Linked DNA regions of Oryzias latipes. The protein of the gene in region 1 interacts with the protein of each later gene in a biochemical or structural test. Links are inferred from orthologs where the notes say so. Each region holds a gene or a part of one and is shown in the gene's direction. Other genes may lie near its edges.

Region 1 (4,187 bases):
GGGGTTATCATAAATTTATGTAAACATATAATTATGTAAAGTAATTGCAGCATATTATAGCGGTGCACACTTCTGCTATTTAATTACATTTTTATAAGAACTAGACATTAAAAAAAAATATAACAAGCATAATTCTGTATACATGTTACCTGGGTTCAATACCCAGGGCGTGCAATGAGCTGCCTGGGTCTCCCTGTGCCTTGAAAAGACAGGCCTGTGTCAGGAACGGCATCTGGCGTAAAAACTCTCTTCCAAACCACCTGTGCTGAGTGCTGTGGAGACTCATAACGGGATGAACCGAAAGGTGAACAACCTATTTTATAGATATTTCCATATACAAATCAGCAAGCAAATGTAAAACAAAATAAATAAGCAAAAGGTTGTCTTATTATCAAACTTCCTTAAGAGCACTGAGTCAGGATTATTGGCCCAGCTTCAAAGCTGCCTCTTGTTGTCCCTTTTAGGTGACAGTTGCTGAGTGGGATTTAAATCAAGTGAAAGGTGGAGGATTCCCTCTTTCCTTTGGGGGAAGACCTTTGTGAAGAGCTGGGCACACCTCACCTAGACTAAACTAATCCGCTGTCTAGGACAACTATTGCAAACAAAGCAATTGCGAGCTGAACACGCCCTTTTATGGGAACAAGCATTGCATCAGGGTCAGGGTGTGAACTTCTGTCCCACTTTGAACTGTTCTTAATTATGTTTATCCAAATAGAAAAATCACCGCGTGGAAAAAGATTTCCACATTTTAAATATGTGTCCAAATAAAAAAGTAAGATACAAAACTGGATAAAGAGGAGAAAAAAAATGAAACCAGAAGAGAACGATCATTTCCCTTAACTGTAACTTCGTGTGACATTTAATCCCCCAAAATCTGGATGTTTAGTTTTTGTTTACTGTTCTTGTTTGGGCAGAACAAACTTTTCGTATCGTTATCCCGTTTCTTTTGCAGTTTTTTTTTCAGCAGCCTCGCTGTTTGTTGTCTTACGTAAGGTCGTGTCGCCGCTCGGCCAATGTCGGATGGTGTGTTTCCCATCAAGGTCCGCCCCTTTACAGGATGCACCATATATGGTAAATGACGTAGGATTCGGGGATCCCGATCCTGTTTATGGAATATTCCATTTCTTGTCAAATTGAACATTAAACGAGCTCCAACGGGTTTCTTTTTGCTGTTTTATTACAAATAACTTGTGTTTTCGCTAACTATGACTGTATATTGACGAAACAAAAGCCATAATTCCCGCCACAGCGGCGTTGCTATGTGATTGTTTGGCGCTTTCACTCTCACGGTTTTAGGCTCCTCCCCCGCGCTGCGTCACACCACCAGGAGGATATAAAACCGATCTGAGCGGCTGGAGCAACTAGATCAACTTCGATTAGCAAAGTAGAAAGTCCTGCTCCATTTCAGAAGAAGCGCTCAAGGAACTTTCTCAAAGCCACAAAAAGGAATTTACCCACTTTTGAGAGGAGTTTTACTGGAATCTTCCTTCTTGTTTTCTCCGGGAAGTATGATGTTCACCGCCTTCAGCACAGATTGCGACTCTTCCTCCCGCTGCAGCACCGCGTCTCCGTCCGGAGACAACCTGGAATACTACCCGTCACCTGCGGGCTCTTACTCCAGCATGGGATCTCCTCAGTCTCAGGTAAATTGAAACGACGATTGCTTAGATGGCTTCACAGTCTTTTTGAACTTTAATTTATAATTAAATTGAGTGAAAGTCAGTGGGCCAGGTTAATTCAAAACTTTTTCAAATTAATTTGAACATTTTAGAATTAATAAATAAAACCTGAAAACAAGCTACTTTTTTTTTTTATAAAGAGTCATAAAAAATTAATTAAGGAGCATGTTTGTCCTGCTGCACACAGAGCAAGGCAGTTTTCACTCCACCGAGGATACATAACGTCAGAGCTGACATCATTGAGATATTTTTAAAGCCCAGTGTTTTAAAACCCTCCTGAAAGCATCACTAACTTCCCGACTCCCCTCCCTCTTTCTCTCAGGATTTCACTGACCTGACAGCATCAAGTGCCTCCTTCATCCCCACGGTCACAGCCATTTCAACAAGTCCAGACCTGCAGTGGATGGTCCAGCCTGTGGTCTCCTCAATGGCCCCCTCCCACAGAGCTCACCCTTACAGCTCCAGCCCCAGTCCTGCTTACCCCAGATCATCCCTGAGGTCTTCATCCAAGGCTTGCTCTTCCAAACGTGGCAAAGTAGAAAAGGTGAATTATCTTTTTTTTTTCTAAATCTCAAGTGATGCAACAGCTGAAATGTGTTTTTAGAGCTGGAGTCTCAACTTGTTGTTTTGTTCTTGCAGATAAGCCCTGAGGAGGAAGAGAAGAGACGAATCCGCAGAGAGAGAAATAAGCAGGCAGCAGCTAAATGCCGTAACAGGAGGCGAGAGCTCACAGACACCCTTCAAGCTGTAAGTATCCCTTCAGATTTACCCTCACTTATTGAAAATGTGTTCTTTCCCAGAGCTTAATAACCAATCCAACATCCCACTAAGTGACACTTTCTTTCTTTCCCATCTGATAGGAAACTGACCAGCTTGAGGATGAGAAGTCCAGTCTGCAGAATGATATTGCTAACCTGCTGAAGGAGAAGGAACGGCTGGAGTTCATCCTGGCTGCCCACCAGCCCATCTGCAAAATCCCATCAGAGCTGCAGACCGAGGTTCCCCTGACCTCAATCTCCTCCACCCACCCATACCTCTCCACCACAGAGTCTTCCATGCCCACATTTACCTCCAGCCAGCAAACCATCCCTCCAACTTCCAACTCTATTTTCTCCAGCTCCGTCCTCTCCACCACCACCTCGACCACCACGACCACCACCACCTCCGACAGCACTGTCAAGATGACAGACCTCGAGGCTTCCATTCTGGAGGAGTCTTTGGACCTGCTGGAAAAAGCGGACATAAAGACGGCACAGTCTGTGCCAGAGGTTGACCTTTCCAGCTCCCTCTACAGTAACCAGGAATGGGAGCCTCTTCATGCCTCTTCAACCAACATTGACTTTGAGCCCCTGTGCACACCAGTGGTGACCTGTACTCCAGCCTGCACAACCAACACGTTCTCTCTGGTGTTCAACTTCCCAGAAGCTGAGACCTTCCCCACCTGTGGCGTTGCACACAGGAGGGGAAGCAACAGCAATGACCATCCCTCAGACTCTCTAAACTCACCCACCCTGCTAACTCTTTAAGGACTTTCAATGAAAAAAAAAAGTATTTCCTCCCATCAAGTCTTGAAATATTATCAAACTGTGCAGAGGCATGAGCTTTGGAACAGGAATGCACCAGATGGCAAATCATATGTTACCTGCCTTTATCTCTACTTGCCTATTAACACCAATGTAGCAAGTTATTAAGCATGATTTATATATATTTAAAAAACAAACACCTAGTTGTTCTAAGTTACTATTATATTTATGGTGCTAGATAACAATACTTGTTGTCAATAAATGTGTTTTCAGAGCAATAGCTGTATAATTCTGGTTTGTTTTTTGTTATTTAAATGTCAAAGTAGATTTTTTTTATTTTATTTTTTTCATTAAACTGCTGTGGTGCCATGGTCTGCAAGTCCATCAGACTGTGAAGTTTTCTGTGAAAACATTGTAATTTATGAAATTTGTATTTATTTATTTTTACAGACGAATGTTGTGCAAATAAAAAATATATATTAACGCAGTTATTTGCCTGATTGTCACTTTAATCATATACCTATCGAGAATAATGTTGAGATATTATACACAGGTTTAATTTGAGTGTCTTCCGCTTTCGTAAGCGTCAGTAGCTTCAAGCTATTTTTCTTCTGTTGCCAAGGCTAACTGTACGTCAGGGCTTTGACGTCAGTGCGTTCTCTTGCATTTTCTTTTTGTCCTGAACGCCCTGCGCAATCACGTTGCACTTCCGTGCCCAAATATAGAATTCCAGTGGAGTCGGTGGCTGTGCTGCGGGCTGACGGCTCTTTTTTTTTTTTTTTTTTTTCTCACTTCCGCTTATATTCGCACATCTCAGGGGTTTCTCTGCAAAGAGAGCCACCGAAACTGTCGGTATATCCAACGGAAAGGAACAATAACTACGCTGGTTTGGTAAATTAGTCATTAGCCGTTCTGACCGAAAAAGACGAGACAACAGAGCGGATACAAGATTACGTTTATTTTGATTGACCGTGCCTGAGCAGGG
Region 2 (4,183 bases), on another chromosome or scaffold:
TTTTAACAGTAACTGTATTTCCCATGCCTGTCTGTGGTGTTTCTTTGAAGTGAATGTTTTCATTTTTTGTCTTTCGCTGCAGAGCTCTGTTGCTGTGATGCCACAAAGCCCCCTCACACAGGTCACACTGAGAGGCTTCCAGACCAGTGCCATCAGCAGGGACATTGACACCGCCGCCAAGTTCATTGGTGCTGGAGCCGCTACAGTCGGAGTCGCTGGATCTGGTGCTGGAATTGGAACAGTGTTCGGTAGTCTCATTATTGGCTATGCCAGGTTTGTTGCCATTTGGTCACTGTGTACATGTTTTTTTGGGGTACAATTCAAATGTTTTCTTTACATTTATTGACTTCTTTTTGTTTGCAGGAACCCATCTTTGAAGCAGCAGCTGTTCTCATATGCCATCCTGGGTTTCGCCCTGTCTGAAGCTATGGGACTATTCTGTTTGATGGTTGCTTTTCTGATCCTGTTTGCAATGTAAAGCACTGCCCTCCCAACACTTTCATTACAGATGTGACTACATATTTTATTGTGGCTTCTAAAATTGTTCAGTGTTGGTGTCATGGAAATGTAAATTTTTCAAGTCTTTCCGACACAGTCAAAATTAAACAAAACATGTACAAACATAACAATGTGCGTGAATTTAATACATGCATTTGAGTATTTATCAGTGGCAGCAACGTCTATGTCTGGAATATCATGGTAACTGAAAGCAGTTTGCTCTCACAAATGTCAGAACATCTTCTCCCCTTGTGAATCAACTTGCTTTCTGAGAGTTATATGGGGTCCACCGTCATAAGCACTTAACTCAGTTGCAGTTAAGTAGAACTGTAAGAGGCAACAAGTGATTACTTGCTTTTGTAAATCACGTTGAATAAATCTAGATTGAATTATAATTTGGGTTTTTGAATTTATTTCCCGACCCCAACAGGGTTTCGAGGTTTGTCAAATGAATGAGTTGCCACTAAAACGGTCCATCAGAACAAAATTCTCAGTTAAAAAGTAATTGTCATTTGGAAGTCAGTAAATTAGTAATATTTGGCAACAAAGTTGACCAAATGTTTTTTTTTTTTTGTAATATAAATTACCCATGTGGTTTGTTTACTGCTTCAATCAAAAATAGTTCCTTGTGATTTAATTTAATATAGAGTACACGATAATGTTTCTCTAAATTGAATTGTTTTAAAGAAATTTGGCCTTTGAGTAAAAAAGGAATGTTAACTTGAGGTGGTTCCGTAGACTGTAAATAAAGTTGTAATGCAGTAGAAATGATGGCAATTATTTATAAAATATTGAATTTATGGGTAAATGGGTAAATTTATGGGTAAATGGGTTTATTAGTGTCCATTAGTATGTTTACGGCGTTTGGGTTAGTGTGACGTTTACGGAAGAAGAAATTGTTTTCTCGCGATACTTTGGGGTTTGGGAAAACAACGTTTGTGGCTAAAGGGGTAAGTAACAACTCAAATTGAAAGCGAGTTTTATTACAAATGCAAAAAAGGGCACCCTTTATCTGAAATCGGTGTTATTTTCTTCCAAGTGAAATTAATCCCCCTCAAATTAAATACCAAAAGGTTATCTGTTTAGTGATTTGTTGGTTCTAACATGGCGACGGCTGTGCGTTATCTCAGCTCAGGCTGGAGCGGAGGATCGGATCATAATGTAGCTTTTGTTGTGTGATGACTTTAGTCGGAATTAAACGTGAAACTTTTTTTTCCAACAAAAAACATGCATAATTTCTTTGTTCGTGTTGAAAAATACACAATCCGAACGACCACACACCGAACGACCCTGCACTGCATCACCGAGCTAATAAATAAGCACAGACAGAGCAACCCCACCTCCTCACTGGCTTTGTCCAAAATCTTATTTGTCCTTTCACTAGATTTGCCCTTAACAGTCCCACTCGAGTCTCGAGTCATTTCTACTATTATCTAAAAATTAACCCTCTAACCCTCCTTTTGATCAGCCACGATTACGTGGTTGTCTTTTCTGTGGCTGTTGAATTTATTTCTGTTTTAAATGGAAATTAAGTTAATTGAGATGAAATATGTTGTTTTTATTCATTTATTGTAGGACAAAAATATAGCAAGAATTTCTTAATATGAGTGATGACAAACCCTTCCAGTGTACTGCTCCAGGATGTGGACAGGTAAGCTGACATAGTTCTTCATAGTTTTTATTTCTTTTTAGTTAGTGATTCAGTTATTTTTATTTTTTGAAAAATAGAAGGAAAAAAACCAATTCCAATGTGTTGTAAATTTATATGGTGGAGTTGTTGAGCTTACATCTTTACATTCTAGATTATTTAAAAACGTTGAAGGTATTATAATATTACATGTTTTGAGATACGGTAGTTGTATTTCTCCAGAGACTAACTTTAATATATATATATATATATATATATATATATATATATATGCATCAAATATGGTAACCAAATATTTGGGTACTCAATGTGTACATTTTACATACATTTGCTATCTTTGCTGATAATATCGAATAATTCAACTAAAAAACGTAGTTTGTGCATTCTTATCAGACATTTTAAAAGCTGAAGTTACTGTTTGAAGGATTTGTGATTATTTGTGGTACAGATAAATCCACTTAAAAACAGAATCACTGGAGTTAATAAAAGCCTGAGTCTGCATCCAATTTGAGGATTCACAAAAGGGTCAAATAATAAAAAGCATCTCTTTTTTGAAGTCACATCAACTGTTTAATTTCTAGTGCCAAAGTAAAGTTGGCTAAAGGGTAAAAATATGTAATTATTGTGGTAAATGTACGCGCACAGTCACAATAAACATAAAAACACACATTAAGCCTATGTTTATGTTTATTTAGGGTTTGATTTCTTTGGATTTTAGCAATGCACCGTTTACTTTTTGAAATTGTTAGTATTTTAACATATTTAACATTGTGAGTCATTGTTGTCTCTCAAAGGATATGCAGAATAAAGTTGTTTTTTTATTCATTTATTTCCTTTTTACCTTGCTCAGAGATTTACAAATGAAGACCACTTGGCTGTCCACAGACACAAACACGAGATGACACTAAAGTTTGGCCCAGCGAGGACCGACAATATCATAATTGCTGGTGAGTCCTTCTTAAGTTTTATGTCTATAGATGTTTGTGTGTTTTTGCCTCCTTAAGTGTGATTTTTTTCTTCTTTTATCTTTTCTTTTCTCTATTACAGATCAAACGCCGACACCCACTCGCTTTTTGAAAAACTGCGAGGAAGTCGGGCTTTTCAACGAACTTGCCAGTCCTTTTGACCATGACTTCAAAAAAGCAGCTGAAGATGACTTGAAGAAGGTTGAGTTTGTTCTGTAACTTCTGTCAAATCTTCTCTTAGGATGATCTCTGAAGTCCAGAGTTTATATCTGCTTTTTTTCTTTTTCTTTTAACCTTCCCAAAGCTACCTCTGGATTTGTCACCTCTTGCTACACCAGTCATACGCAACAAAACTGAGGAACCCGCAGCTGTAGATGCACATCGGAACAGCCCCCTTCCTCATCCTGAGTCCACCACAAACGATGACAAGGTAGATTTTTTTCTGTTTAGTTAGCTCTCTAATGGGTTTTAGGAGTGCTATTAAACATGAATAATTAAGAATCCTCCTGTTTCTGTAATCATTCATTTACTATAGAAATTGTACTTCTTCTTTCACCTGCTTGAATTCTTCGATTTATTTGTTTTTTATTTTCAAACCCCACTCTCTTTTTTTTTTTTATTCAAACACTGCTCTTAATTTTGATTTGGAAATCCTAAAACCAACCAAAAAAATATTTGCAAAAAGTTCTTGTAACTAACTAAGCTGGTGTTCACTAAACATTTCTGCAGCTAAGGTCTTGTATGATGTTTTCAGGACTTAACTTTGCAGCCTGCCTCACTGCCAACATCCACTATAGTCCATCCTGCATCCCTCCAAGTTCCCAATGTACTTCTAGCAACCACGGACGCTAATGTTGTAATACAGCCAGCTCTCCCATCGCCAACATCTAGCTCTGTTATTACCCAGGTTCCATCCACTAATAGACCCATAGTGTAAGTAACGGAATGCGTCCATTTTTAAAACAAATCTTAGTTTTTAGTTTTTTTTAATCATTTTTGTGTAGTTTTGTGCATTTTGTGAGGCATGTGCTTGTATTTTATGTTTATTTTTTTAATCAATCTGCACTCTGGT
Region 3 (3,001 bases), about 14 Mb from region 1:
TTACAGTCAAACCCTCCATTTGTCCCTACAGATGTTTTAGTGATGATTTAGCACCAACATGTGGAGCCTCTGGATGAGTCGACCTGTGATGATTCTGTCTTTCATTCTCTGTCCTTTTTTTTCTCTTTCTTCTCTCCCTCCATTTCTCCCCACTAGACCCTCGTCAGTCCCAGTCCTCTCCTCCCTGGTCATACGAACAGACGTATCCGTCCTACCTGAGTCCCATGGCGTCCCCCTCAGTCCATTCCACCACCCCCCTCTCCTCCAGCAGGGGCACGGGCCTGCCAGCCATCAGTGACGTGCCCAGACGATTGCCAGGTAGAAATCCTCCAACTCGTTAGGGGAAAAACGAGTTGTCACGGGGACAAACAAAAGCAGAAACGTTTACAAGAGGGGGAAAAAAAAGTTTACCAGCAAGCTAATTTAAGCTGTGAGTCACGAGTCGTTTCTGCAAAGAAGTTCAAATGACGTTTCAGCGAATAAACTAGATGTTTCCTTTTTTTCTAGAACTCCTTTGATCCCAAAGCAGCACGAGTAATAACAGGCCCACAAATAATAAGAGGCTTGAAACTTTAAAAGGTCCTGCAGTGATAGACAACTTTCTCAAGGCATTGTAGCTTGCAATATGTGCAGCATCTGTGTTGCAATTTGTTCCTCCTGAAATCTCCTGTAAAAGCTCAAGACAAGTTTCTCCTTCGTACACCTGTTTGACTCTCTGCCATGTGCGATTTTTTTTCCATCACTCTTTTTTTTTTTCCTGTTCTCCTCTCCTCTGTTTGTGTATGTTTATATACGTCTGCATGCTTGGAGCGATTCGGCGTTGCAGCCATGAATCAGACAGAGTTTCAGATCCAGCCAGCTGCTCCGCCAGCCTTTGATTTGTTTGGTCTTCCCCTTCGGCTTTCATCTCTGCGAGTGTGGAGCTTTGCTCTCGAGGCGCTGCACATGTGAGAGCGTGCACAGGCCCCGCTGCACACCTCGCACCTCCAGAGGGAAGTGCCGCTCAAATTCCTGGAGATCGTACAGAAACACTGCGATAAAGAGGCTTCGGCTTGTGCCGGTTTATCAGGTCGAGTCATAACATTTCATCGAGAAGGGATGTTTGTAAGACCCACCTCCAAACATTGGTCTTGCCCGTCATCACAGGCCGCCTTCCAGAATGAACAGTGGCTCCAACATTGTAAAGGAAGAGACAAGAGTTTACTGAACAATGTCGGTCAAGGGACAATTACTATTATTATTAGAATTTAATTGATCTGCTGGAAACTTTAACAACCCACTCCGATCTCCTTTTGGTCTATTTTCAAATCAGAATGCTTTATTGTCATTCTACATAATGATACAACTAAATCATAGCATCCTTGGAGTGGTAAATACTATAAATCTAATCAAAAAATATACAAGACCCAATAAAAATACAGGCATGAAAAAATAGAATAAAGAAAGTGTCCCCAGTTTTTTTTTTATCTATGCCATTTTTAAGTTAAAATAAAAAAACCTGTGTTATTTTCTAGATCATACTGTATTTTCTTTGGACTATAGGCCCCACCGGAGTATAAGTCGCATCAGCCAAAAAAATGCACAATAAATCATTATATAATTGATATATAAATCACACTTTTGAAAGAAAACTATTTAACAAAATACAGGAACATTTCATCTTGCAAAGCAAATCATAATAAAGGAACATCTGCACGCTTCACTACCACAGTAAAGCTTCACGAAAGGAGGAATCTAGTAAATTAGCTCAACATATGGACAATTATCAAGATAACCACATTATAAAGAACAAGCTAACAAGTCAACTAAACTCTTTATATCACTTCAAATCCATTGAAATTTTCATCCTCTGTGCCACTGGAACAACTCTGTAAGACTCAGCGTGGCATCTTCTTCTGCGTCGGTCTCAGTAGCAAATACTTTAACACCTGCAGTGAGTGCCCTCTAGTGGTTGTTGCTATTTATTTATTTTTAATTCTCATACAAGTTGCACCCAAAAAAACATGGTAGTTTCTGCAGAGCGTCAGTAGTTTATTAGAAACTTGCATCTAAATTGTGAGCTGGACCGTTGATGCACAGCAACCCCGCCCCCACTTCCCGACACCCATCTGTTTTTTACATTCTCTCCTGCTAGCTTAAAACCCTTCCGCCCACTAGGAACATTTCAGCTGTACAGTTTCCACCAGATGCCAGCTCGGACGAGGCAAACAAAGACGTACACGGATCTGATCGTCTACAAGTGGATGCATCAGAATGGAGCGGAGCAGGGAGCTTCTTTCTAGCGTATTTTCTACGTAACAAATACGATCTTTTTCAAACCAATTTTTTTCTTAAATACAATTACTCAGACATGCAACTTTAAGCTTGATTATTTTTATATATGTTCTCCGTCATCAGAAAAGTGCCACAAGACCATGTGAAAACCACCTAAACACACTTTTTATCAGAGTGGGTTCATAAAGGCTTTTAATTGGCAGCATGTGCTATCTCGCCAAAAGACTCTGCAATGCCGCCATGCGCATAAACTCGCCTCCTCTTCCCTCGTCTTCCCCGCCACCCCCTGTCCTCTCACAGCAGACATGGTGACACAGAAGACGCCTGGTGATTTATGATAAGAGCGCCATGGCTGGACTAAACCACCATGAGGCGACGGGTGGGAGGGGGGCAAAAAAAAAAAAATAGTCCTTAAACTCTTCTCCCAGCAAAGAGCTCACCGCAGCCAGTTAGTGGTTTTTCCTTTTTTTTGGGGTGGGGGGTGGTATTCTTTAAGGGATGAAGCAAAATGAGGGACGAAACAGCTAAATGGAGCAGCTCCCTTTTTATTATTATTTTTTTTATTTTTTTTTTGTGAAATCCTGGAGCCGACGGGAGGCGAGGAGAGGAGCCACATCAGAGCTCAGCCCTGCCTCATTATGGATCTTATGGAAACTGTTTCTGCTCAAAGTGTTTCCACATGTGCAGCTCCTGATTCATCCCAACTGCTTTTTTTTATTTTTTTATG

What was found.
Region 2: the proteins of c-fos (region 1) and atf2 form a complex in vitro, tested with the Homo sapiens proteins (3 studies listed by BioGRID and IntAct, with this or other methods). The link is inferred for Oryzias latipes from reciprocal best matches to the Homo sapiens genes FOS and ATF2.
Region 3: the proteins of c-fos (region 1) and runx2 form a complex in vitro, tested with the Homo sapiens proteins (2 studies listed by BioGRID). The link is inferred for Oryzias latipes from reciprocal best matches to the Homo sapiens genes FOS and RUNX2.

The regions. Positions count from the first base shown.
Region 1 is NC_019882.2:17,152,090-17,156,276, reverse strand, and holds c-fos (c-fos protein), read left to right. Parts: upstream 1-1,363; 5' UTR 1,364-1,508; coding exon 1,509-1,643; intron 1,644-2,001; coding exon 2,002-2,223; intron 2,224-2,318; coding exon 2,319-2,426; intron 2,427-2,539; coding exon 2,540-2,805; coding exon of another isoform or gene 2,806-2,841; coding exon 2,842-3,205; 3' UTR 3,206-3,689; downstream 3,690-4,187. UniProt on the Homo sapiens protein: Nuclear phosphoprotein which forms a tight but non-covalently linked complex with the JUN/AP-1 transcription factor. In the heterodimer, FOS and JUN/AP-1 basic regions each seems to interact with symmetrical DNA half sites.
Region 2 is NC_019879.2:22,381,753-22,385,935, reverse strand, and holds the start of atf2 (cyclic AMP-dependent transcription factor ATF-2), read left to right. Parts: upstream 1-1,372; 5' UTR 1,373-1,448; intron 1,449-2,073; 5' UTR 2,074-2,101; coding exon 2,102-2,149; intron 2,150-2,996; coding exon 2,997-3,093; intron 3,094-3,193; coding exon 3,194-3,312; intron 3,313-3,415; coding exon 3,416-3,541; intron 3,542-3,865; coding exon 3,866-4,044; intron 4,045-4,183. Other genes in the region: atp5mc3 (ATP synthase F(0) complex subunit C3, mitochondrial), read left to right, coding at 83-273, 364-478. UniProt on the Homo sapiens protein: Transcriptional activator which regulates the transcription of various genes, including those involved in anti-apoptosis, cell growth, and DNA damage response.
Region 3 is NC_019882.2:3,176,193-3,179,193, forward strand, and holds part of runx2 (runt-related transcription factor 2), read left to right. Parts: intron 1-156; coding exon 157-318; intron 319-3,001. UniProt on the Homo sapiens protein: Transcription factor involved in osteoblastic differentiation and skeletal morphogenesis. Essential for the maturation of osteoblasts and both intramembranous and endochondral ossification.